Linked DNA regions of Mus musculus. The protein of the gene in region 4 interacts with the protein of the main gene of each other region in a biochemical or structural test. Links are inferred from orthologs where the notes say so. Each region holds a gene or a part of one and is shown on either strand. Other genes may lie near its edges. The genes, in order: Mfn2, Ube2j1, Ube2v1, Prkn, Pink1, Eif4b and Rnf41.

The links.
Region 1: of the proteins of Prkn (region 4) and Mfn2, one has a biochemical effect on the other in vitro, tested with the Homo sapiens proteins (2 studies listed by BioGRID). The link is inferred for Mus musculus from reciprocal best matches to the Homo sapiens genes PRKN and MFN2.
Region 2: the proteins of Prkn (region 4) and Ube2j1 form a complex in vitro, tested with the Homo sapiens proteins (4 studies listed by BioGRID). The link is inferred for Mus musculus from reciprocal best matches to the Homo sapiens genes PRKN and UBE2J1.
Region 3: the proteins of Prkn (region 4) and Ube2v1 form a complex in vitro, tested with the Homo sapiens proteins (4 studies listed by BioGRID). The link is inferred for Mus musculus from reciprocal best matches to the Homo sapiens genes PRKN and UBE2V1.
Region 5: of the proteins of Prkn (region 4) and Pink1, one has a biochemical effect on the other in vitro, tested with the Homo sapiens proteins (12 studies listed by BioGRID, with this or other methods). The link is inferred for Mus musculus from reciprocal best matches to the Homo sapiens genes PRKN and PINK1.
Region 6: of the proteins of Prkn (region 4) and Eif4b, one has a biochemical effect on the other in vitro, tested with the Homo sapiens proteins (2 studies listed by BioGRID). The link is inferred for Mus musculus from reciprocal best matches to the Homo sapiens genes PRKN and EIF4B.
Region 7: the proteins of Prkn (region 4) and Rnf41 form a complex in vitro, tested with the Homo sapiens proteins (2 studies listed by BioGRID, with this or other methods). The link is inferred for Mus musculus from reciprocal best matches to the Homo sapiens genes PRKN and RNF41.

What each region holds. Positions count from the first base shown.
Region 1 is NC_000070.6:147,884,410-147,887,909, forward strand, and holds part of Mfn2 (mitofusin-2), read right to left. Parts: intron 3,115-3,500; coding exon 3,006-3,114; intron 2,905-3,005; coding exon 2,797-2,904; intron 2,016-2,796; coding exon 1,862-2,015; intron 1,340-1,861; coding exon 1,272-1,339; intron 1,166-1,271; coding exon 1,044-1,165; intron 1-1,043. UniProt on the Homo sapiens protein: Mitochondrial outer membrane GTPase that mediates mitochondrial clustering and fusion. Mitochondria are highly dynamic organelles, and their morphology is determined by the equilibrium between mitochondrial fusion and fission events.
Region 2 is NC_000070.6:33,029,881-33,034,179, forward strand, and holds the start of Ube2j1 (ubiquitin-conjugating enzyme E2 J1), read left to right. Parts: upstream 1-1,499; 5' UTR 1,500-1,705; coding exon 1,706-1,736; intron 1,737-4,299. UniProt on the Homo sapiens protein: Catalyzes the covalent attachment of ubiquitin to other proteins. Functions in the selective degradation of misfolded membrane proteins from the endoplasmic reticulum (ERAD) and is essential for cells to recover from ER stress.
Region 3 is NC_000068.7:167,608,006-167,611,505, reverse strand, and holds part of Ube2v1 (ubiquitin-conjugating enzyme E2 variant 1), read left to right. Parts: intron 1-1,076; coding exon 1,077-1,202; intron 1,203-2,258; coding exon 2,259-2,405; 3' UTR 2,406-3,500. UniProt on the Homo sapiens protein: Has no ubiquitin ligase activity on its own. The UBE2V1-UBE2N heterodimer catalyzes the synthesis of non-canonical poly-ubiquitin chains that are linked through Lys-63.
Region 4 is NC_000083.6:12,061,359-12,063,866, reverse strand, and holds the end of Prkn (E3 ubiquitin-protein ligase parkin), read right to left. Parts: intron 2,327-2,508; coding exon 2,214-2,326; 3' UTR 501-2,213; downstream 1-500. UniProt on the Homo sapiens protein: Functions within a multiprotein E3 ubiquitin ligase complex, catalyzing the covalent attachment of ubiquitin moieties onto substrate proteins. Substrates include SYT11 and VDAC1.
Region 5 is NC_000070.6:138,316,297-138,319,796, forward strand, and holds part of Pink1 (serine/threonine-protein kinase PINK1, mitochondrial precursor), read right to left. Parts: intron 1,783-3,500; coding exon 1,600-1,782; intron 1,173-1,599; coding exon 1,009-1,172; intron 1-1,008. UniProt on the Homo sapiens protein: Serine/threonine-protein kinase which acts as a sensor of mitochondrial damage and protects against mitochondrial dysfunction during cellular stress.
Region 6 is NC_000081.6:102,094,223-102,097,673, forward strand, and holds the end of Eif4b (eukaryotic translation initiation factor 4B), read left to right. Parts: intron 1-449; coding exon 450-555; intron 556-754; coding exon 755-827; intron 828-1,030; coding exon 1,031-1,111; 3' UTR 1,112-2,951; downstream 2,952-3,451. UniProt on the Homo sapiens protein: Required for the binding of mRNA to ribosomes. Functions in close association with EIF4-F and EIF4-A. Binds near the 5'-terminal cap of mRNA in presence of EIF-4F and ATP.
Region 7 is NC_000076.6:128,432,116-128,435,615, reverse strand, and holds part of Rnf41 (E3 ubiquitin-protein ligase NRDP1), read right to left. Parts: intron 3,420-3,500; exon of another isoform or gene 3,299-3,419; intron 304-3,298; coding exon 32-303; intron 1-31. UniProt on the Homo sapiens protein: Acts as E3 ubiquitin-protein ligase and regulates the degradation of target proteins. Polyubiquitinates MYD88. Negatively regulates MYD88-dependent production of pro-inflammatory cytokines.

The DNA.
Region 1 (3,500 bases), on a different chromosome or scaffold from region 4:
TCCAGTCCTTTTGTGCTCTCCTCAGGAAGGTCCTTTAATCTGGGGAGTGGGAGCACAGGAACCCACCATCCCCCAGGACTGGGTGGGACTCCTTTTCTGCTCTAACTAACATAGGCCCACACTATCTCATAGTCTCTCCAGTAGAAGGGAATTGTTTGTACATGGCTCCCTGAGCTTTCCTGGACTTTACATTTCTCATATTGTTTTTCTTTTTTCTTTTTGTTCTTTTGAGACAGGAGCCCATGCATCCTGCGCTGGCCTCAAACTTACTAATAGCCAAGAATGACACTGAACCTGATCCTCCTACACCCTGACTCCATCTCTAAAATGCTTATAAAATGATTCTAGGATGTCACTACCACAGCCAGTACGTGTGTACTGGAGACGAGCTCAGGGGTTCCTATATACTAGGTTAGCACTCTGAAAACTGAGCATATCACCTGTACCCCATCACGTTTTAATGTCCCTTTAGTCCAAGCACTCATGAGGCAGAAGTAGGCAGATCTGAGTACAAGGCTATCTGGACTATATAGAGAGTTCTGGGCCCACCAGAGATGCATAGTAAAACCCTGTCTCAAAAAAAACAAAACAAAAGAAAAAACCAATTCATACTTGCATACATACATACATACATACATACAATAAAACAAAAAAAAAGGAAGGTTCAAGTGGGATATGGTATGTTAGGGTGGGGTCCTGAGGCAATAAAATCTTAAGTTCAAGACTAACCTGAACTACATAGTTAAGAATCTATTGGAAATAAAACAAAACCAAACCCTGGGCCAGGGCTGCAACTCGGTAGTAAAGAGCCTTTCTAGCTGATAAAAGGACTCAGATCTGAGCCCTGTACTACTGAAAATTAAAAACAAACACAAAGGCCAAGACCTCCAACAAGGAGCCTGCCTTACTGTGCAGGCTGGGTGGGATGATGAGACACCAGATGGCCCTCCTGACCAGTGTGACTAGGTCTCTATTGTGGCCTGGGCGTGGGCCCATGGACTGAGCTCAGCATTAGGGGTCTGATCATACATGTAGGCTCTCACCGCTGCTCCTGAGCTGCGATGTGCAGGGAATCCATGATGAGACGAACGGCCTCTGCAATCTGCTTGGCCCGGACTGTGTGCTGCTCAAATTTGGTCTTTACTGCAGACTGGGAAATGCACTCCTACAACAGAGAGAGGGACTGAGGGAGGTGGGGCTGTCACCTCCACGGCCAGGCTAGACAGAGCTGGGAAGGACAGGAGGACCACACACCAGAGTCAAAGACTTACCTCAAACTGCCTCTCGAAATTCTGAAACTCAAACATCCTCACTTGAAAACCTTCTGCGAGAGCGCCGCCTAGGAGAACGGCAGTGCTGATGAGGAAACTGCACGGTAAGTGATTGGGGAGATCCTTCTCTGGGATACTTTTCTAGCCCTGTGACCAAAATCACCTGCCGAGAAGCCACTTCAGGGAGGAAGGCAGGCTTATTCTGGCTCTCGGTCTGAGGGGAGACAGTAGGTCATGGTGGAAAGGAACAGCAGCAGGTGCCTTGCTTAGGAGCAACTTGAGGTTGCTGGCCCATAGCTCACTGGGCACAGACATGGAAAGAAGGGGTGCTCGGCTGGCTTTCTCCTTTTTACTCAGCCCATGATAAGCTGCAGCTCACCTTCAGGAAGAGTCATCCCTTCTCAGGCAAGCCTCTCTGGTAATGCCCTCAAAGCCATGCCCAGTGGGAGATCTCCTAGGTGATTCTAAGGACAAGAACCTCCCTCCAGGCTCTGCTCTCCACCTCACTGCCAGCAGTCTCCACCACACACCCAGGAAGAGACGCAACACTGCAAACACCAAGTAAAAAGAAGCCAGCAGCTCACAGTTACCTCCTTCTGGCATGCCCTGGGCTTTCTGGACCCTGGCGCTGAGAACCTCCTTGGCAGACACGAAGAAGATCCGGTCCCCAGCCTGAGCTCGATCCACCACGCCCAGCTCATCCACCAGAAAGCTGGTGCAGCGCTCCATGTGCTGCCGCCGCACCTGGGCCAGGCAGACGGCTGTGCATGAGCAGGACAGTGGTGGGGAAACCCGATCCACAAGGCTCAACAAGCACAAGGGATGAACGCTGGACAAGGAAGGGTCACCCAGCACCACCTCCCCAGCTCCTCCCTGGGGGTTCCTGAGGCACAGAACAGGTCCCAGACTGCCTCAAGTTTTGAAAGTCGATCTAATATTGTTCTTTGACATCCCACAAGGAAGAGAACCTAAATGCCCCTACACTGACAAGCCACATCTCCCAGAACCTTGATTTATAAAACAAGTCGTCACAGTGGGCAGTCCCAGCTCCATGTACTAGGCTGGACTAGTAGAATTTAAAAGGGTAGCCGGACGTGGTGGCGCACGCCTTTAATCCCAGCACTCGGGAGGCAGAGGCAGGCGGATTTCTGAGTTTGAGGCCAGCCTGGTCTACAAAGTGAGTTGCAGGACAGCCAGGGCTAAAAAAAAAGAAAGAAAGAAAGAATCTCCTGTCCTTCATTTTCTTAAGCTTCTTCCCCAGTGTCTTTCTACAGCCTGTTTCTGTAGATCCTGAGCTTCTGTAAACCAGTTACTGGCCCAAGCACAGCAGGGATGCTCTTAGGAGAAATCAAGAGGAGGGAAGGAAAATGAATGGGAGGGGAGCGGAAAGATTAAAGCCACCAGCGAGTACATGGGCAATCTGGCACTGACTTTAACTGAGGCTGCCTGGGACACACAGCAGATCTGAGTGGTCAGTGCTCATGGCTCCTGGCAGTCCCCAAACTGCTGCCAGCGAGACACCTACCTCCTCCATGTACTCAGGCTCCGAGGCAGACGCATCCCAGCGGTTGTTCAGGATGAAGATGTTGGGCCGGGAGAGACGTTCACTCACTTTGTGGAAGAACTGCTTCTCCTAGACAAGGGCAGGACCTTGATGGAGGAGGGGGCCTGCCAGCCCAGGCCCCACTAACCACCTGTCCAGCAGGCCCAGGGACAAAGCGAAGCAAGAGTTACCGTCTGCATCAGCGTGGACTCTGAGTTGGCCACCAGCACAAACACATCAGCATCCAGGCAAAACTTATCAATCCAGCTGTCCAGCTCCGTGGTAACATCGATCCCAGGGCTTGTGGTAACAGGTGTAAATCAGTGTGGTCAGGCACAGGGCTCGGGCCCCAGTGTGAACTTCCCTGGGACTTGCAAAGTGGCAGGAGTGGGAGGGGAGGAGGTTTCTGCCTCCCATCCCTGTCCTTCCAGACCACTGAGGGATGCCCAGTTTGTTTTTAGCACCTATCACTTTTTCCCCTTGGTATTTCTACACAGCCCTGGCTGTAGACCAGTGTGACCTTGAACTCAGACATCCTCCTGCTTCTGCCTTCCAAATGCTAGGATTAAAGGTGTAGACCACCACCCAGCAGCACCCATTACTTTTATAAAAACAAAATGACTTCTAGTCATTCACGTCTCTAGAGATGTAATTACAGCACCTGCTGCCATGCCCAACTCTCAAGT
Region 2 (4,299 bases), on a different chromosome or scaffold from region 4:
TCATCTTTTGTTATTTGCAGCATCGCCAGAAACTGGTTTAAGTTTGTTTTTTATTTTTTAAAGTTATCGTCAGGATTATTATAAAAAATAAGATGAAATTCTTCCAAATTTTAATTTGGGATGGAATCTTTTTGTTTGCTGAAAATTGTTACTTTCTTCTAGGAGGGAATTTGTTCTGAAGAAACAAAGTATTCTTTTGACAAACCTACATTTCTGGGAAAATTAATCTTTCCGACCCAGTTAACAGTCAAGCAATTAGTAACTTTTAGCATTTACTCCTTTTTTAAAAAAAAATCATATTTACCCTCTCTGTACATGTTTATATTTAGAAAAAAATTAAGAGTTGACTTTTCTCTTGCAGTGATTATAATTAAGCTTTGCCATGGGCCCATAACTCAATGCCGGATTTGTTGCTGTCTTTTACCTAAGGAAGAGCCCCCAAGGACGAGGTGATGTGGCTTCAAGAATAAAATAAAAGAGAAACATCCTTATCTCCATTGTTGGGAGGAAGAGGAGAGCCTCAGGGCAAAGTGCCTTCCGAGTCTGGCTGGCGGGCGGATGGGAACGACTACACCCCCTCGGCAGGCCTGGTCATGGGGCCGGTCGGAGCAGCGCAGGTTGCTGGATGCTAAATTTGAGGACTGAACACAAAGAATGAAAGCTTAATGGAGAAGCACATTGAAGCTCGGTTTTGCTTGCTTCTCTATTCTTCAGATTATCACCGTACTATTCAGAAAACATCGCCTTTAATGGCTTAGAAGATGCCACTTAAATCTTTTTTTTTTCCCTCCTCCTTCAGACGGCTGGGAAAAATTACTGACATTCCCACAAACACATTTGACAATGTTAAACAAGAACACTAATCTGTCTAATTGGTTAATCTTCATTCCACCTATAACCTTCTCTAATCTCCGCTGGCTCCCTCCCTTTTTTGAGGCCCTTTTATCTCGGTAAGCCGTCCGAACCAGAACCTTACTTTCTCTGTCCTCCATGATCCGAAAAGACAAACGCACCGCATCTCTTTCAGACCGACCTGTCCCATTTATGCGTTTTTATTAACATTCCAGGCGACCCCTTGGTTTTATTTCTGGGAGGTTCTGATGCACCCCGAAAAACGCTGCCTTAGCTAACCGCACCGCGGAGCTAGGGGCCACTCCCGTCCATCGCACCGAGGCCAACTGCGGGCTCGGAGAAGCGCACATCACGGCGCCGCAGTCCCAGGCCGCGCTCGCCCGCCCGCCGCTCCGGGCTGCGCCGTTCCTCCGAGCTCCCTGCGAGCTCCGCGGGAACCCCTGAAGGGCCCGCGGCGAGTCGGTCTCCCGGGCTGGGCCGAGGGGACGACGAGGGTGCCGCCCGTCTCCCCAGGGCTGCCGGGCGGGCGGGATTCGCGGGACCGCCGCTGCCGAGTGACCGACCGCCACGAAGCGCCCGCCACGTCAGGCCGACTTCACAGACCCGGCGCCGGCGGTGACGCAGCGGCGCGTCAGCCGGGACGTCAGTCCCGCAGGCCGTCCGCAGCCCGGCGCCCCGTTCGGCGACGCCCCGGCGCCCGGCCGGCCCTCAGGGAGGCGGACCCCGCGGCACGCACCTCGCCCGCGGTCGGGCTGGACTGGGCGGTGTCAGCGGAGGCCCTCGCTAGGCGCGTCCGCCGCGCGAGACCCGGGCAGCTGCGGCGCCGACGAGAGCGGCAGCGGGGACGTCCGCCATGGAGACCCGCTACAACCTGAAGAGCCCGGGTGAGCCGGGCTGGGGCGGCGGGCGGGCGGACGGGCGGGGGACCCGGGACTCAGAGCGCGGCGCCTCGGCCCGCTCGTGTCCGCCGGCCCTCGCGGCTGCTCCGGGCTCGCGCTTTACGCGAGGCCGCGGCCGGTCCGGGGGTGCAGGCCGCAGAGCGGGCGGCCGCTGCGGATCCCCCGATGCGCTGGCGCTCCTCCGCTCCTGGCCTCTTCCTCCCGGTGTCTGCGGAGCGAAGCAGGAGACAGCCGAGCCAAGGGCAGGTGCGAAGGCGACGACGGTCCGCACTACTGACCATCCCTGGCCGCATCTGCGTCCTTCGTGTCCCCTCCGCCTCTGCCGACGAACTTTTGTTAGGTGTTTGACTCACATTTGAAATATCCCATTTTTATTGTGGTTGAAATATCCAATTTCAGTATTTGGGGGAGAATTTATAGACGTAGAAAAAAAAAATATGTCCTGTAGCTAAACTAGTTGAGCTGTGCACTTGGGAATTAACCATGATTTGGGGGGGTTGATTGCTACTTTGAATTTCTTTCCTTCAGTTAATGCCCTCAGACAATCCTGGCCTCCAGTTATTTTCTGGTGCACTAAAAACAATGCCAAAAACAAAAAACAAAAAACCCATTATCAGTTGTCATATCTTTTAAGGCAGACGTAGCACAAATTACTGGAGCCTAAAAAATGTACTTTGATAATTTGTCAGGGGGAAAAAACTCCTCCCTGTTAGCTCTGAATAATAAGCCTCAGGGTATTGATGATCATTGAACTAGAACTCTCGTCACCGTTTGTTTTCTTTCCCACACTGCTTCTTAGTTTGGACTTAAGTCTGATATCTTTATGGGAAAGAGTTGGTATTGTGAATCTTTTTAAAAATATATATATATTTTAAATTTTTAGAATATATAAAGGAAAAGCCAGAGAATATTGGCTGAACAGAATGTTGTTAGCTTGAATGCTGATAAGTAAGTGGCCTTAGGGACCAGATGTAGAATTAGTCATTTCTACGGTGTTTGTTTAAAATTTGACCACGCCTGTGTAAGAATTATATGGCTGAATTTTAATGGGACATGTCTCTGTCTTCAGCCCATCACTTAAAACCTGAAGAGTTAAAAAAGGTCAGAGAAAGTAGAAATGCCTGGATTTTACCATTTTGATGCCAGAATGATTAAATTAGTTGGAATTTTGTTGTTGTTGTTTTGAGACAGTTTCTCTGTGTAGCTCTGGCTGTCCTGAAATTCACTCTGTAGACCAAGCTGGCCGAGATCCTCCTGCCCCTGCCTTCCCAGAACTGACATTAAAGGTGTTTGCCACCTAGCTAAATTTGTTGGACTTTTAAAATCAAACTGTGCAGTAAATTGTACAGTACTTAGTCACACCTAGAGCAGCAGAGGTCCTTAGGCAGATGTCCAGAGAATAATGCAGTGTGAAATGTTGTCAGGAAATTGTTCAATCTTTTTTTTTTTTTTAACAACTTCCTTTTATCTATCTTTTTATTTATGTGCATTTTTTTCCCTTGCATGTATGTCTGTGTGAGGATGTAAGATCCCCTGGAACTGGAGTTATAGACAGCTGTAAGCTACCATCTGGGTCAGTTTATAAGGTCTTCTGGAAGAGCTGGCAGTGCTCTTAACTTCTGAGACCTCACTTCAGCCCCAAATTTCTCCTTCTTGATAGGCTATTGTACCCAAGATTATGATAAAATTTAAGCAACTTTAGAAATTTAATACATTTCTAGATGGGTATGGTGATTTGTGCCTTTAATTCCTGCATTTGGGAGGTAGAGGTAGGCAGATCTCTGTGAGATCCAGTCTGATCTACTTAGTAAGTTAATAAATTTTGAAAGTAAGTTGGACTTCGGTTGACTCTTGTATCTGTTTACAAATTCTCTTCTCTAGGTGATGCTATTCTTTAAAAAGCTTTAAACTGTCTTCCCTGTTGATGTAGGTGATTTTGAGTTCGTAGAGAAGGTAGTTTCAATGAACTCTAGAAGTTGCCAAAGTGCCGAGAAGTCTGGTGATAATGCTTGCTTTGTTTTAGTCTCAAATCTTTGTTACTTGTAGATTACTGACTGTGAGAGGAAGTAATCGAAACATCTCATTTCCTGTCTGCTAGTGTTGGGTTATCTCAGAGATAAGGATGGGAAAATCTTGGAGGACACAATACAGACTATGGTTAACCGTTGTGTCCTGCATATGGTAACTTTGTTCCATCGTACCAGAAGCCTGGGAATTATCCTGTTCATCCTGTTGGTATCAACCGAAACTTCACACTAATCAGACTTTCCAGTGAACCCAGACCATATCAACTGGTCTGCATAGAATATGTGATTGAACATTTTTACAGATTTCCCACAGATCGAAAAGGTCTCTGTGAGTTGTAAAAACCAAATTCCTTGGTATCCCAACCTTCTTCAAACTCCTCTATTTCCCTCAGATATCCCATGGATTTATAGCATCCAGGGAGCTGCTGCCCTTCACGTGTTAGGCATCTGGTCTCCCACAGAGACACCTTTCACAGTGGTGCCAAGACAGTCTTCAGTCTTGGTCAGCTCCTTTACCTCTG
Region 3 (3,500 bases), on a different chromosome or scaffold from region 4:
CAGTAGGTGTCACTGTGTGCATAGGAGCAACTGCTTTGTGTGCAAGACTCCTAAGGAGAGGGTGCCCCCTGCCTGATAAAGAGGCGTGGCCCCTGGTCCAGGGCACAGGTCCCATGTGGAAGGTCTCTGCAGTGTTGTCTTTAGGCACAGTCACAGAGTAGGGTGCTTGCAGCCAGGTGTTCAGGGCTGTGTGATGTTTCCACTCGGGGTGGATGTTCCACACATGATTGGGCTGGGCCAGGCACAATTTGCTGTTGAACATTACAGGTGCTGGTGTGGGCCTCACTTTCCTGTGGGTCTCTTTTTGTTTGTTGGTTTGGTTTGGTTTTTTTGAGATAGGGTTTCTCTGTGTAGCCCTGGCTGTCCTGGAACTCACTCTGTAGACCAGGCTGGCCTCAAACTCAGAAATCCATCTTCCTCTGCCTCCCAAATGCTGGGATTAAAGGCGTGAGCCACCACGCCCGTCTTCTTATGTATCTCAGTGAAGAGATGGTTGGATGGTTGGCTTTGTAACTGTGGGTAGAGGTCAGCAGACACCTTTTGTAGTCTTCCTCCTTCTGCTTTGACAAGCTTGCATGACAAGCCCCTTACCCTCTGAGCCATCCCCACAGCCCTCAGCAGTTGGTGTTTTCATTTATTCGCGATAGTGATATTCATAGCCCAGACTCCTAAGGCCTTCAAGGTCACTGTGTGCCTGTGGATGATCCTCAGCTCGTGGGGTCACAGCTGGGTACCATCACGCCCAGACACAGTTGACCTTTCAGAGTTGATGCTGTCCCTGATGGTCTGGTGCCTCAGCTGCCTGGCCTTCTGCTTCACTCACTTGATGCTGGTGGCATCTTAGGTCACCATGACTACATAAGAGAAAGAATGCTCTGAGGGCAGATGGCATATGCTACAGAAGTGGCCTCAGGTCGGACTCATTGACACTTAACCCTAGTTTCCTCCTGTGTCTGTCCTGTGCTTCCGTCTCTGAGGCACCCACGACAGGCAGTCTGGGGCAACGGTGTCTCCCAGGTGTTGGAAGCTGTACCTCTCTTAGGTCTCTGTAACTTGTCTCTATTCCTTTTTTCCAGACAATCTATGAAAACCGAATATACAGCCTTAAGATAGAGTGTGGGCCTAAGTACCCAGAGGCACCCCCGTCTGTAAGATTCGTAACAAGAGTCAATATGAGCGGCGTGAGCAGTTCGAATGGAGTGGTGAGTCCCCCACTGCCTGCCTGTAGGTTATCACGGTGCGCTTGTGTCTGCAGCGTTGGGCAGGGCCGCTCCATTGTGGCTTGTCACTGCAGGAGCCCTGCACTGGCTGTCAGCCGGGCGTGGTGGCGCACACCTTTAATCCCAGCACTTGGGAGGCAGAGGCAGACGGATTTCTGAGTTTAAGGACAGCCTAGTCTACAGAGTGAGTTCCAGGACAGCCAGGGCTACACAGAAAAACCAAGAAAAAAAGAGTGTTCAGTGTCCATGGCACCATGAGGTAGAGTTGGGAAGTTGGGGCTGAGGCAGAACTATTCCCATATCTTTACCTCCTGTGTCCTGGCCCCTGCCATGGGATATTTTTTAATACTGTTTGCTTGTGCAGCCCTGGCTGGCCTCCACCCATGGCAGCCCTCTGTCTGAGCCCCTGCATTAGCGTTGTCCATGGCCTTGAAGGCCTGACCTTGAGAGGTCAAGGTTGCAGCGCTGTCTACAACTGCAGCCCTCTGTAGAGCTCAGGCCTTACACAGGCTGGCCACACCTCGGCTGTAAATCCCCAATCTGTGTCTTGCTTGCTAGAGGCTTGGAGGCGCTGTGCCTGTCCTGTCCTAGGAGTCTTCAGAAGATGGGCCAGAGAAGTAGAAATTAGCATTCCTGCCACTTGTCCTATGTTGTTCTGTGTTGGAGCCACTTGTCCTATGTGTTACTGTGTCGGAGCCACTAACTCCTTAGTGACCTAAGAGACCTGGGCACCATGGCTGCTCTTGCTACCTGCCCCACCCTGGGTACACATTGGAGAAAGGACAGGGCATGGGCGCCAGGTGCTTGTTGGTCAGGATGGGCCCAGTTTGGCCAAGTTAAGTCTCCCTGTGTGCCTCAGGCTCTGCTAGTTTTCTTCATGCCAGGACCCAGAAAAAGGAGGCAAGACTGTCTGCAGGAGGGCAGCTTGGCCCAGCCCATGGGTTTGATGGGCCTGTGGGCTGGGCATATCAGCCCCGGGGAGGGCGGGAAGGTTTTGCTGCTGAGTCTACAGTAATGTGTGCATTTGCCTCTGCGCAGGTGGATCCGAGAGCCACGGCAGTGCTGGCAAAGTGGCAGAACTCCCACAGCATCAAAGTCATCCTGCAGGAACTGCGGCGCCTGATGATGTCAAAAGAGAACATGAAGCTGCCACAGCCGCCGGAAGGACAGTGTTACAGCAATTAGTCACCAAGGCCCCGGCCTCCCCTCCCCATCCAACCCAAGTCTTCATTTTCCACAGTAGTGAATTTTCTAGATACATCTGTAGACCTCAAAGTACCGGAGAGGAAGCTCCACTCAGCCTTCATCCTGAGACACTGTTCTGATACTAACTTCTCGTCCATTTGAAATACCTAAGTTGTGCTGTGTAACATCAACTGTTGAGTGTAACCGCTGTCTGCCTGGTTGAACTTCTGGGATCAAGAAGGTGTTGAAATCGGTTTCCTGTGGGAGCGGTGGGCACAGCTAACGCAACTGTGAACAGACACGTCACACAATCACCTGCTGCTGGCCCTTGGCCTGGGTCTGCCTTTGCCCGCCCCGCCCTCCGCCACAGCTGTGTGGTGGCCCTTAGAATAGATGGGAAGGCTTCAGGTAGCAGTTGTGGGACTGACTACTGCTGGGCTTGGGGCGCTTTGGCTGCACCCCTGCTTCTTAAGTCTTAAGTGATGCCCCATCCAAGCCATGGTCCCCACTCCTCCACTCCCACCCTTGGCCAAAGCTTAGATTGTAACCCTCCCCTCCCTCTGAAATTGGCCGCGGGTGAGGAATTCAGGGCTTCCCGTGTCCCCACCTTTATCAAGGGGTGCTGCTTCCCCTCCTCAACTCCCCTGTTGCCCATCACCACCCAACACTTGCTGTGGCCAGAAGCCATCAGATGAGGTTGGAATTGCCTGGCCTCCCTCACTTAGCTCCGGACCACACTCACCTGCCACCAGCCTGGGAAGGGAGCGCCGGGTCCTCAGCCCTGCTGCCACCGTCAGCCCTCGAGCTTTGTGCTCAGGTCTAAGGTAAACAGCAGTCACAGGGCGACTCGGACCGGCCAGCGCTCAGGGTCCTTGGTGAAAAGATGCCTAGAGAAAGGCCATGCGGAGTCCTCAGTGCACACGGTTCTGAGTTGGTTCCTTTTCCCATCATTGCTTTGCTTTTACACATTGAAGAGGTTTGAACAGGGCTCTCGTCACCCTGGCCACCCATCGGGTCTGATGTGGAGCCTGACAGCTGGAGCACGAGGCCCTGACCCTGCAGACTCAGGTTTCAGTGTTGCTCCTCAGACCCTCT
Region 4 (2,508 bases):
CCTGAGTACCATGCGCCTGAAGGAGCCCATAGAAATAAGAAGAGGGCATCAAATTCCCTGGAATGGGAGTTTTAGGCAGTTGCAAGCTACCCTCTGGGTACTTTCAAGCTGAACTCTGGTCCTCTGCCAAAGCAGCAAGTGCTCTTAACCTCTAAGTCATCTCTCCAGACTCTCCAGACCCAGTTTCCCTTGTTAACACTTATCTGGGCAAGTCTGTGAGCAAGGCAAGAAAGTGACTGCTAGGTTTCAGAATGAGATCTTGTTTTGAAATACTGATAATTAGGAGAGCAGAGCCCCCAAGGTTAATTATGGAAAGAAAAGAGACCAATTCCCCCCCCCCCCCAGTGGCTGATGCTTCCAAGTTCTCGTTTAGATGATCCAGAGATGCCCCTTCTATAAACACATATGAGAGGTCACAGAGAAATGCGGCCCATCTTCCCTCCCACATCTCCAAAATTGATCAGAAATGCAATCCCAAGGATAGGTACAAACACGCTTTTGATTCTTTCATTGACAGTCTGGGTCTTTATTGATTGACAGTCTGGGTACCACCACACACACAGACTTCAGGTATTTCTTAATACACTTCACAGAAAGAGAAAGATTGCTTTGCAGAGGTTTGATTTCCACTCTTCTGACATCCACTTTTATCCCACTATTCACACTCACACAATGCAGGCTGTGATTCATGCTCACACACTGTGGATGCCTGTCTTTTGGGTTATTTTAAGAATCACTATTGTATTCTGAAGAAAACATATGCATCTGTTAGGAAGGAAAAGGGACCATACTGGAGAGCCACAGAGCTTCAGGGAGTCCCTTTACCCAAAGCAGAACAGCAAACATTGTCCTGGCTTCCCAATGCGATTACGTCACACGGGTGTGGAAGGAGGCAGAGGCAAGCACAATGATGGAAAAAAAATAGTGATGGGTGACATCAGACTCCTGACTGCTGCTTGACAGGTGGTCTTTTCATTTTGGGAGCTGGCTGGGTGGAGTCTAGGGCCACTGGGACAAAAGTGTGAACTTAGGCCAGCTGGCCTTTCCTCACACCACAAGATAACATCATTTCTATATGATTTTTAGCTCTAGGCCTCAAGTTTGGTAGCCCCACCACCACCAAAAAAAAAAAAAAAAAAAAAGCAAAAGCAAAACAAATAAAAAACAGGAAAAAGAAAAGAAAACCTTGAAAGATTAACACTTGAGTGTGATGCATGTTGATCTGAAGGCTATCTTGGTGTGTGTGTATTGCCCTGTCTGTAGGACCACTGGGTGGATGGGGCTCCCTGGGGCTTAACAGCAGAGGAGGGAGCAGATATGCAGAGGTGTCCCCACTTGTGGTGGAAGGGGTCAGGCATACTCTCATTCAGATGGTCGAGGGATGCTCCTTCTATAAACATTGTGTTTCTTGACCCTGTTGTTAGCATTGGCGCAGCATCATGGGATTGTCTCTTAAAAACGCCCCCTTTATAGGCACTTTCTCTGTTAAATTCACAGTGAAGCTAAACTTCCAGGCTGCAGTAGGAATACTCCAAACCAAATTGCAGACTTTGTTATCTTTTCAGGGGGAAAAAAAGATCATTTCTTTCTAAAGTTGCAGATAATGAAACGAACGGAAGTAGGTTTGGCTTCTGAGTCCTCCCTGCGATTTAAGCAGTCTGCCATCCAATTAGCTTTCCTAGGTTCTCACTTGGTTGATAAGCTGATTAGTACACAGAGGGGTTGTAATCTCATCAGCACCATTTGTAAAGATAGGATTTGGGGGGATAAACAAATAGTTTTGACTACTGCAGGGGGCCCTTTGGGAATAGATGATTACTACATGAGAGCAGCGTTCCTCAGATCTCAAGTGTGCTTCTGAGAATCCTCAGAGGTGTTACTTACCCAGGGCGTGGCAACAACCCTGGAAAACACTTCCCACCTCACTCATGGCTTCTACAGAATCCAAACCAAAGGTGCACCCTCATCTAAGCTCTGACATTCGAGTGAGCCAGAGGCTGAAAGTGCCTCCTCCCCCTGGGGCCAGCGGGTGCTGTGGTTTTCTGTGGGTGCCCTGGAAAGGATCTAGGGGCTGCTTCTGTAATCTGCAGCCTGTGTTTGTGTGTGCGCATTTATGTGCTTATATGCATCGAGAAGAAGAAATGGCTAAGGAAGGTAGGAATCTTCGGAGTTTCCCTTGAGGTTGTGCGTCCAGGGCCAAGTGACATCTCTCTCTACACGTCAAACCAGTGATCTCCCATGCAGGCTCGGTTCCACTCACAGCCACAGTTCCAGCACCACTCCAGCTTGCACTGGGGCTGAGGACACTTCATGTGCATACATCCTCCTGTGGGGACAAAGGACATAGACGCTGTGGGTTTGTAACAAATACGGGCGAGCCCTTGTTCCCCGTGCCAACCTGCCATTCCAGAAACAGCTCTTGTAGTGAATAACAACCTCAAGCAATGAGAGCAGAGAGACTGACCCAGAGTGAACAACCAGACAGCAGCGGAGGCAGCTCCTGGGTCC
Region 5 (3,500 bases), on a different chromosome or scaffold from region 4:
GAGTCTTACATTTGAGTTTGTAATGCCAATAATCTAACAAATGGACCTTGGGAGAGAAAGGCTCCTGGAGTTCCTAAGAAAGCTTTCTAGTGACACATTTAATTATTTTAAGTTTAATTTTTAAAAAGATTTGTTTTGGGGTTGGGGATTTAGCTCAGTGGTAGAGCGCAAGGCCCTGGGTTCAGTTCCTCAGGTCTGGAAAAAAAAAGATCTGTTTTATTTTTATCTATGTGTGTTGGTGCCCGGAGAGGCCAGAAGAGGGCGCCAGATCTTCTGGAGCTGGAGTTAGAGGCAGCTGTGCGTTTCCACCTGGGTGCTGGGAACCAAACTCAGGCCATCCAGAAGAGAGGAGCACTTAAGCACGGAGCCATCTCTCCAGCCCGGCAATCCTCTAGAACATCCCAGGCAGGGCTTCTCATTGCATGCTCACTGCATGTTGCCAGTGATGGAGAAGCCAGGGGTTTGTGTGGGCAGCTTTCACTGAGCCACAATCTGGCTACCTCTCCTACCTCTCACTGGTTCAAAAACTACAGGACAGATGGTATTGTTCTGCAAGGGGGCCACAGAGAAGACCCCAGGAACTGTAAGAGGGCTGTTGCCTATCTTACCCATGAGATGGAGGGGAGTCCTCTCTTGAAGTAGAGCTAAAGAAGGCAGTACAGAATATTCAGAGGGCTGGGGAGATTGCTCAGTGGTTAGAGTAGTGAGGACCTACTTGGATCCCCACCACCCATGTCAAAGCTATAACCTCAGCACTAGGGTGATGGAGAGAGATCCCAGGGCCTTGGTGGGCAGCTAGCCTTACTGAAACAGTGAGCGCCAGGCTCAGTGAATGACCCTTTCTAAAAACATAAGGGAGAGAGAAGGAGACAGGGGCCAGGCCCCAACCTTTGGCCTCGACATGTGCATGTCACATGTACACACACACACTGCCCTCAGGGTCTCTAATGCCCCTTCTTGGAGCACTCTGGGTGTGTCCAGAGCACTGTGGCTCTGGCCAGCAGCTACCTGAGTCCCACTCCACAAGGATGTTGTCGGACTTGAGATCCCGATGGGCAATGCCCTGCTGAACCAGATGGTCCACGCCCTCCAGCAACTGCAAGGTCATCATGGTAGCCAGGCGAGAACTGGGAGTCTGCTCCTCAAGGTACTGGCGCAGGGTACAGGGGTAGCTGGCAGGAGGGGACAGAATGTCTGGGGATCACAATTTCCATGGCCTCCTTCCGTGCTAGGACTGGGCCTTTCCCCTTCTGGAGTTTCTCCTATCTTTATTCCCAGGCATCCTTTCAGATCTCATCCACCCTGACCCCAAATCTCAGAAGCCATGCCAGTGTCACTCCCCAACTCCTCAGCGCCGTCTCTGAAGTTAGCTGGCACTGAAAGAGGACGCCATAGAGGGAGGAGCTACCAAGGTGCCAAGCGCACATTCTGGAAGATGAGATGATCTATCATTCATTCTAACCCAGCTCTCTCCTACACGGCTCTCATTTCTGCGTGCTTTGTTCTTCCCTGTGCTCCAAGCACAGACCAGCTCCCATGGGACAGGAGAGGCTGCTGCACGATCCTTACCCCCGCCCCCACACAAGCACCACCACTTACTTCTTCATAACGAGGAACAGTGTGCGACCGTGGCCCAGGCCTTCTGGGTAGTAGTGTGGGGGCAGCATATCAGGATAGTCAGCCAGGGCCCCCGGCAGGAGGGGCACAGATGAGGTGAAGGCGCGGAAAACCCGGATGATGTTAGGGTGTGGGGCAAGCTGCTTGGGACCATCTCTGGATCTTCTGTTCAGGCAAATGGAACAGCAGATGGGGCCAGCATCAGAGACAAGTGCTGGGCAGACGAGCTAAGGCCACCACCTCAGGCACCCATTCAGGCAGAGTTGCCATATCCACTGCAGGTCTGCTCTCTTCCAGCTATTGCACCCCAACAGGGGTGACTTCTCCCATTCTAGCCCACCCTTTGGCCCATCTATCCATCTCACATGGTGGAACACAGTGGCTCAGAGACCCTGGCGACTGCCACACTCAGTCCTTGGGCAATGCTACTCATTCCCTCTGAGCTCAGGGCAGAGTGGGAAATACAGACTCAGCGATGCTCTGTACAAGGCGGTTGATACGCACAGAGCACTACAGTCGTGCTCAGCAGCACAGGGACTCAGCAAGGCTGATGCTCTGTTAGCATTTACTATGGTCACACAGAGAGCCAAGCATTAGCTACAATGCTGGAACTATGTATAGAGCAGAGTCGCCGCTTTGAGATCCAACACGAGAGTAATTCTTTTAGCTCTCTGAGGACAGGGACCCAGCCCAAGTCATCTCCCCCTTCACAGGGACTAGCATCCTCTTTCCCAAATGAGTCCCCAACACTGATGCAGTTCGCTGTAGTGCTGCCACCTGGTGGCCCTTGTTCACCCCTGCAGGATGCCCCACAGCCAGGGCCCCACAAAGCACTGTGGACAGGGTGGCTCTGCCTCTCTGCCAAAGCTGACTGGACCAAAAGTGGGCATTAGGAACCAAGGTCAGGGTGCTCATGGGTTCATCTGAGATCCTGATGGCTGCTGGGAAAAGGAACAGGCAGGTAGGTCACTTCTCTTAGGGGACACAGGGAAGGCGACTGGAAGCAAAGGCTTGCAGGACCAGAAGAGCCACAGAGAGGAGCACCAGTGCTAAGGGTGCAGAGGAGAGTGGAGGAGTCCCCAGTGATGAGCCAAGTTTGGGAGGATAACTGCCCTGTCCTGGGGCCTAGTTCATGTGTGTTCTTGTACTGCCCCTCTGTGTCACAGGAGTGGGTCCTTGCACTATGTAGCACTGTCCTTGCCCTGGGTGAATGGTGACACGGAGTGTCAGGACCTCAGCAGGAGGCTGGCAGCACCCTGGCAGGTGTCATAGTAGCTTCAAGGCAGTGTGGGGAGATGGGAGATTTGGTCCAAGTTAGGTCTGTCTGCAGTGTGCAGAGACTGCAGCCTGAGCAATGCAGAAAGTCAGAGCTCTGGCTTCTGAGGAAGACGGGGTGAGCTTTCGGGAGTGGGGAGGGTACAGACAGGCAAGGGCGAGACCTGAGGTGGGAGAGGCAGCAAGGAGCAGAGTCCGAGGTTTCCGGACAGAGGCCAAGTGGGCATGCATGAGCCATGAGTCGTCTGGGGGGGGGGGTGTCTCTGGAGACCCAGCAGAATTTCAGCTAGTACCCTTGGCACAGGCACCAGAGGTAGAATACAGAACCAATTGTCAACCAGAGAAACCTGGAAAAATCGAATAGACACATAGGACCGAAGCCAGGCAGCTAAGAAAGTCATAGAAATAAGTAGAAGGGTTAGGGCTACGGGAGTTTGCACTTCAGGCTCTCAGCCACTGTCAATAGTGTTCCCGCCCGTGGAGACAGTACATGTGAACCACTAGGTGGCGCCTCAGTCACAAAGGCTTACCACTAGGTGGCGCTACACCCACACACTGCTTTGCCAGAATTAGGACAATGCCTAGCCTTCTGAACTGGGCCTCTTTGG
Region 6 (3,451 bases), on a different chromosome or scaffold from region 4:
GCTCTACTTCCCTACCCCCATCAACGTTCAGCTGTCAATTGTTTTATTGTTGTTGTTGTTTAATGTTCTTTGATGAGCTACCTTTTCTGCCAGAAGAGGGCAGGAATGACTTCTTCAAAGAGTATTTAAAGCTGCCTCTTCCTGGTAAAGCCTGCCTTTGTGGAGAAATTGGACAGGAATAAATGTGTCTGTCCTGTCCAAGTTTGAAATGTCACCATTAGTAAACCAAGGTCACTACAGAACAATCTATCTAGTTCCTATTTCTGTCCTGCTTTCTAGGTGATGGTCACTACAGTAGGACTTTTAATGGGAAAAAAAGGCTTTAGGCTGGTTTGGAGTGGGGATAATTCCCCTTCATACGTGTTTCCTTCAGCTTAAAGGAAAGCAAGGACAGGGAGATGAGTTACTTTCTAACCCTTGAATTTGGTTTTGTGTTTCTGTTTAAACAGATGGAAATAAAGTGGATGTGGTGGGTGCCACACAAGGCCAAGCTGGAAGCTGCAGCCGTGGTCCCGGGGATGGAGGGAGCAGAGACCACTGGAAGGACTTGGATAGGTATCTATATTTTTTTTCCTCACTGTTTATGAATCTTGTAGTGTTAGACGCAGGGAATCTTTATAAAGTAGTTCTTGGCTTTCTCAAGCATTGCCAGGTTTACCACTGTGAATAAACTAGAGTCACGGTTAGATTTGCAGAATCTAAAAATAATGCACTATCCCAGCAACACTATTGAATACCTATTGTGTCTCTGCAGGAAGGATGGCAAAAAAGATCAAGACTCCAGATCTGCGCCTGAGCCAAAGAAACCTGAGGAGAACCCAGCCTCTGTAAGTGCCATGTGCCTTTCCTCTTAGTTTTGCGTCTGACTCCTTTTGTCTCCAGTGAGCACACTTAAGGTGGGGTTACCTTCCTCGGCTCTCGGAAAGAGGATGTGTGCGGCCGTCCACTCGTGCCCCTGACCCTCCCTGCTCTCGCAGAGGAACGGGTGTGGTCTGGGCTCCCATCCATGATCCGTCCTCTCCTGTTACAGAAGTTCAGCTCTGCAAGCAAGTACGCTGCTCTGTCTGTGGATGGCGAGGATGAGGATGAGGGCGACGACTGCACTGAGTAGGACCTCCGCACCCTGTGCTTTCTCCTAGTCTCCACCCCGGAACATTCAAGAGCAAATCAAACCTCTATCCAGACAAGACAAAATAAACTCACCATCTCCTGAAGACCTTTCTAAACTTTTTTTTTAATGAAATGAAATTCTTTTGCATGCTGCTGCAGCCTTTTAAAGTATTGAAGTAACTGGAGAATCACCATTGTAGCCAGAGACGTGGCTACCGCTTTTGAATGGGGAAGTTGTGTCTGACAATACCAAGCAGTTACTGTGTGACTAGTGCCTGGGGCTCCATTCAGCAGAATTGCAGTGACAGAGAGGCAGTCACATCAGTTAGGCAGTAGAAAAAGGTGCAAAGCAGAAGTGAGATTTCTACTTTCTAATTCTTATCCTGAGATGGCACCTGTGAATACCCAAACATTACCTGAATTTACCTGAATAAATTTCCCATCCTTAGAAAGGTAGCTCTAGTCTCAAGCTGTTTTAGTCTCCAGGAGGCTGCCAGCCCCTCTACTTTAGTTCTGACTTCAATGGGGCCAGCCTAAGGGGGAATTGTTTTATTTTTTTACCCCCCAAGGGGGTAGTTGGGAGTGAGTCTACGGGGCACTAACAAGTAGTTCCCGCTTGGGGACCAAGATGAACGGAAACTCAATCGTGGTTTGGAAAGCTTTGGGGAGGTGACTAATTATATTTTATACCCGGTAGTGAGGGAAACAGTGTGACCTCCAGTAAACACATACATAGAATGGTCATTTCTGGATGAGGAAGCACTTAACAGGTAGTGAGAAGGCCTGGCTTTGCCCCTTCTAAACTCTCCTTTCTAGAGGTTGAAATATACCCATATTATTTTGAAAACCTTGTCACTCTGGTCATCTCATGGTCTCCATGACACTTAGCCTCCCAGAGCTGTCTGTGAGTCACACACCTCCCACAGACACTGTATCTTAGCCACAAAAAGCCATGGCCTGAGGACTCGCTGCTTTTCTCAAGCAAGCCAGTGAGTTTTCTCTGTGCTATCTTTGATTTCTGCCTGCTCCTGCAGCTTTCAGCCTCAACTGATGGGCTTGGGTGGTGAATAGGGGTGTGTAAATGGGGTGAGTTGGAGGTCTTCAGCCTTGAATGGGATGTAAGGTTTCTATAAATCTCCCTCACTGGAGCCCCACGCTGGTGCTTGTTTATAATGTATGTGACCCTGACTGGTTTTCTGCTTAGGAGGGTTGGCTTCTTTACTCCCCTCAAGAATAAAGGATAATGCAAAGAACGATTGAGCAAGGTCCTGGTTTCTCTTGCAACACTGTAGCTTGACCTGTCTGCTTTGATGTGCACCTTTGTAGGGGTCAGCTCCAAAGATGGCGAGCCTCCCTGTTGTGGGTAGTCAGGTACCTGCAGACAGAGGATACCTTGGTCCTAGGCCTGCTGTGCAGGAGCACTGATGTCCCGTGCTGCAGCAGTAGGCACAGCAAATCGCTTCTCCGGTGGATTTGATTGGCTAGTAGCTAGGAAGTGGGCTTTTGCAGATACCCACAGTTGAATGGGTTTTTTTAAACCATTGTTGTAGACAATGAGAAGGTAGTTTGCCCTCTTCATGTCTATTTCCCTTCCAGATAGTTGCATCCGAAGACAGCTGTTTTGTCCCACTCTCCTACTTTGCTCCTCTGTTAAAATAAAAACAGGGGTTGACTTATGTCCCGCTCCTGAATACATGTAAAATTTGTACAAAAATATCTTCTATGAAAATGATTTGTAATCTGTAGACATTACTTGGGAGATGTCTTGAGATGTAAAATCCCATCCTTTGGGTTGAGGGTTTTTTTGTTTTTCTCCAAATAAATCCAGTCTTTAAAGTTGATGGTTAATGTTGCAGTTTATCGCTCTTTCCCCCCCCCCCCCCATGCCTCTCCTTTCCCCACCCCTTCCTTCCGTTTCGCACAGCAGTATGTGAGCTGTTGCAGGACAGTGGGTAGGCTCACCAACAGTGGAGATGGACCTCTGTGCATGGAGCCCAGGCAGGGTTCGCCGTCCTGGTTGACTTACTCCAACCCCCAGTGTTTGCCTCCTTGCAGTCCATGAAGCCACGTGGTGGGCTTGCCTAGCAAGCTGTTGGGCACTGATACAGGGAACCACCTCAAGAGATATTTCAGACTTAAGGGAGCTTTTCAAAGCTGGTCATCGCTGAAAACAGGAAAATGAGTTAGGATAGAGACAACCTCTAGAGTCACGAGGAACTGGAACACATTTGAGGGACTTGTATCCAAGATGGGGATGATGCAACTAAAAGCAGCTGCTTGTCTAGGGTTGGGTTTGGTTTGATTGATTGGTTGGGGTGTTTTGTTTTTTATTGAGGAAAGG
Region 7 (3,500 bases), on a different chromosome or scaffold from region 4:
TGTCTGAATGGAGTGGAAGGAGGAATCTCACCCACAGCCCTGCTCACAGGTCACAGGCCGCTTCGGGTTGTGCTCACAGTCACTGAGGTGGGACATGAGGTTGTCAAGCCTGACAACAGCACTGCAGCCAAACACAGCGTTGTCACAGGCAATCTGTAGCTTTGACAACATGTTCCGCATGATCCGAGGTACTGGGCGCAGGTGGGCAACCGTGACAACGCTACGGTCTACCGGACACGTCTGCTGCTGAGAGAACCATTGGGTGATGCAGGCGTTGCAGAAGGCATGCTCACAATGAGGCGCCTAGAAGGGACAGTAGGGGGTAAAAGGGACACAAGGGGATTAGCAAGAGCTGAGAGCCTGGATCCAGTAATTATGAAGCCAATGAAGCCTGCAAGCAGATTCTAGGAGCAGAGGTCCAGGGCTCACAATCAAGGACAGATCTTTTTGGGCAGAGCATTTTCAGGTCAGGTGCAAGACTCACTTCCTGTGCTCAGGAGTGGAAATGAGTTGAGAGACAAGATAAACAAGCAAACGGTTCTGTAACAGTAAAAGACTCACAGGACACTGCAGGAGTGGAGAGGACAACACAAGGCCATCCATCACTAACAGCCAGCAGGATCTCACTCACACACAGTAACTGCCAAGTAAGGCCAGAGGAAGGTGAGCCCTGCCGGCAAGGGCGACCACAGCAGATCCTTATGGGGAAAGGTGTGTTCTGTACACAGGGCTTCACGAATGACTCAGACACAGCGTAGGGACTACGGCAGAGACTCACTAACCACCACAGAAGTGAGAGAGTACGAGGGCTGCGTGTGGCCGTTCCCAGCTCACAGGCCGAGGAGGAAGTCTTGTAAGCACCTGCCCTACATGGCAAGAGCTGCCTCAGAAAACAAATGGAGGTGGAGAGGGGACTCCCAGGTAAAAGTGCTTGCCACCAAACCTGACGTGAGTCTGATCCCTGGGATCTACATGGTAAAAGGAGAGAACTGGCTGCAAACTACTGAGTTCCATATGTTCCATGGACTGTGTGTGTATTCATGAGCGCGCGCGCACACACATACACACACACAGACACAAAATAAGCAAACGTAAGAAAAAAAAATCCAGGCAGGCTGGTGCACACCTCTAATCCCAGCACTCGGGAGGCAGAGTCAGGTGGGTCTCTAAGTCCCATGCCAGCATGGTCTACATAGTAAGACCTTGTCTCAACAAAAGAACAGTCCCTCCAAACTCTCAAACAAACAAACAGGGGCTGGCAAGACAGTTAACAGAACTTGCTAGTCTTCCAGAGGACCCAAGTTCAGTTCCCAGCACACACACAGCAGCTGATAACTACCTCTAACTTCAGTTTCAGAGGATACAAGAGTTCCTTTGGACCTCCTCAGGAACCTACACACATGGCATGTCCACCTCCCCACACACATACAAAAATAAAATATTTTAAATATATTTTAAAAAGGAAAGAAAAAAAAAAAAGACCCAACAACAAATCACATAGGAAAAGTAAGGGAAACTCTCATGAGATTTCTCTGTGTAGATTCAAGATCTTTCTCTATGAGGCCTGTCATGACCTTTCAATGAGGTATGGCCCCTGAGTCACAAATGCTACACCAGGGCTCCTACATAGGACTAGCATTTTCTTTTTTTTTTTTGTAGAATGACACTGTTCTCTGTTTCATAAATATCATGGTGGGGTGGGGGTGGGGAGTTCCAGCACTTAGGAGGCTAAAGAGAGGCAGGAGGATCCCAAGTTCCAGGCTAGTTGGAATATATAACCATACCCTGTTTCAAAAACCCTAGTAACCCCTCCCCATTCCCATGATATATAAAGATGTCCCTTATTTCTTTGAGAAGGCTCCCTGGTTCCCTGGTTCCTGGGAAGACACTACCTAGCATTCAGCCATGGGCAACGAACAGCACCTGAGTCAGGTGAACTTTGCATTTATTACATGTGCCCAGAACTGGGAGTGTGTAAGTGCAAGTCACATGCACCATGGAGCACACATGGCTGTGAGGCCCCTTTCCACAGCAGGTTCCAGTGATTGATCTTAGATCATTAGGCTAGTGCAGAATGCACTTCAAACCCCTGTGCAGTCACATGTGCTGAGTTCACTTCTAAGAAGCTCAAAACCCAGGTTGGGGACACGGTGTGGCAGGTAAAGATGTCTGCTACCAAGCCTGGTAGAAGCAGAGAATCAACTCCCACAGAGTATCATCTGATTCCATATGTGTCACAACCCACTGTGAACACACGTGCAAACACACACACACACACACACACAACACACAAGAATAAATATGTGATAAATGTAATTTAAAATGTTAACTAAAAGGGTATCTAATTAAAAAGCTAACTCTGAATATATATATATATATATATATATATTCATATATATGGATGTGTATATATATATGTATATGTATGTGTATGTATGTATACACACACACACACACACACACACACAAAACCCTTAACATATGACTCGTCTCAAAACCTTTTTTTTTTTTTTTTTAAATCTTTTCCCCTGTTTTTTTTTTTTTTTTTTTTTAAAGATTTATTTATTTATTTATTTATTGTAAGTACACTGTAGCTGTCCTCAGACACTCCAGAAGAGGGAGTCAGATCTCGTTACGGATGGTTGTGAGCCACCATGTGGTTGCTGGGATTTGAACTCCTGACCTTTGGAAGAGCAGTCGGGTGCTCTTACCCACTGAGCCATCTCACCAGCCCAAAACCTTTTTTTTTTGAGACAGGGTTTCTCTGTGTAGCTGTGTAGCCCTGGCTGTCCTGGAGTCAATTTGTAGATGGCCTCGAACTCACAGAGATCCACTTGCCTCCCAAGTGCTAGGACTATAAAGGCATATGCTATCAAACCTAGCCCTCCATGTTTTTTGAAACTCACATGCAGGCTATCCTGTCCTTGAAGTAGCTATATAGGGAAGGCTTACCTTGAAGCCCTGAGTGCTAGGTTTATTGGCAGGTGTCACTCTACCTGGGTTATCTTAAAGAATAAACAAACTATTTAAGAAAAAAGAAAAATAAATCGGGCTGGAGAGATGGCTTAGAGGTTAAGAGCACTGACTGCTCTTCCAGAGGCCCTGAGTTCAGTTCCCAGCAACCACATGGTGGCTCACAACCATCTGTAATAGGATCTGATGTCCTCTTCTGGTGTGTCTGAAGACAGTAATGATGTACTCACATATATAAAATAAGTAAATCTTAAAAAAAAAATTCCCAATGTGTCTACTTTTCTCCATCTCTATTGATTCAAGCTCGTATGGTATCATCTCTTACCTGAATTGTCAAGTATGACTTCCAACTGGTTTCTCTTGCCTCTTAGTCTACATTTATCAGTCAGAATGATCACCTCAAGCAAAGCAGGGCTGGGGATACAGCTCAGTGATAGAGATCCTGCCTAGAAAGAACAAGGCCCTGGGTTTCATCTCTCTAGCACGAGAGAGAGAGAGAGAGAGAGAGAGAGAGAGAGAAAGAGACA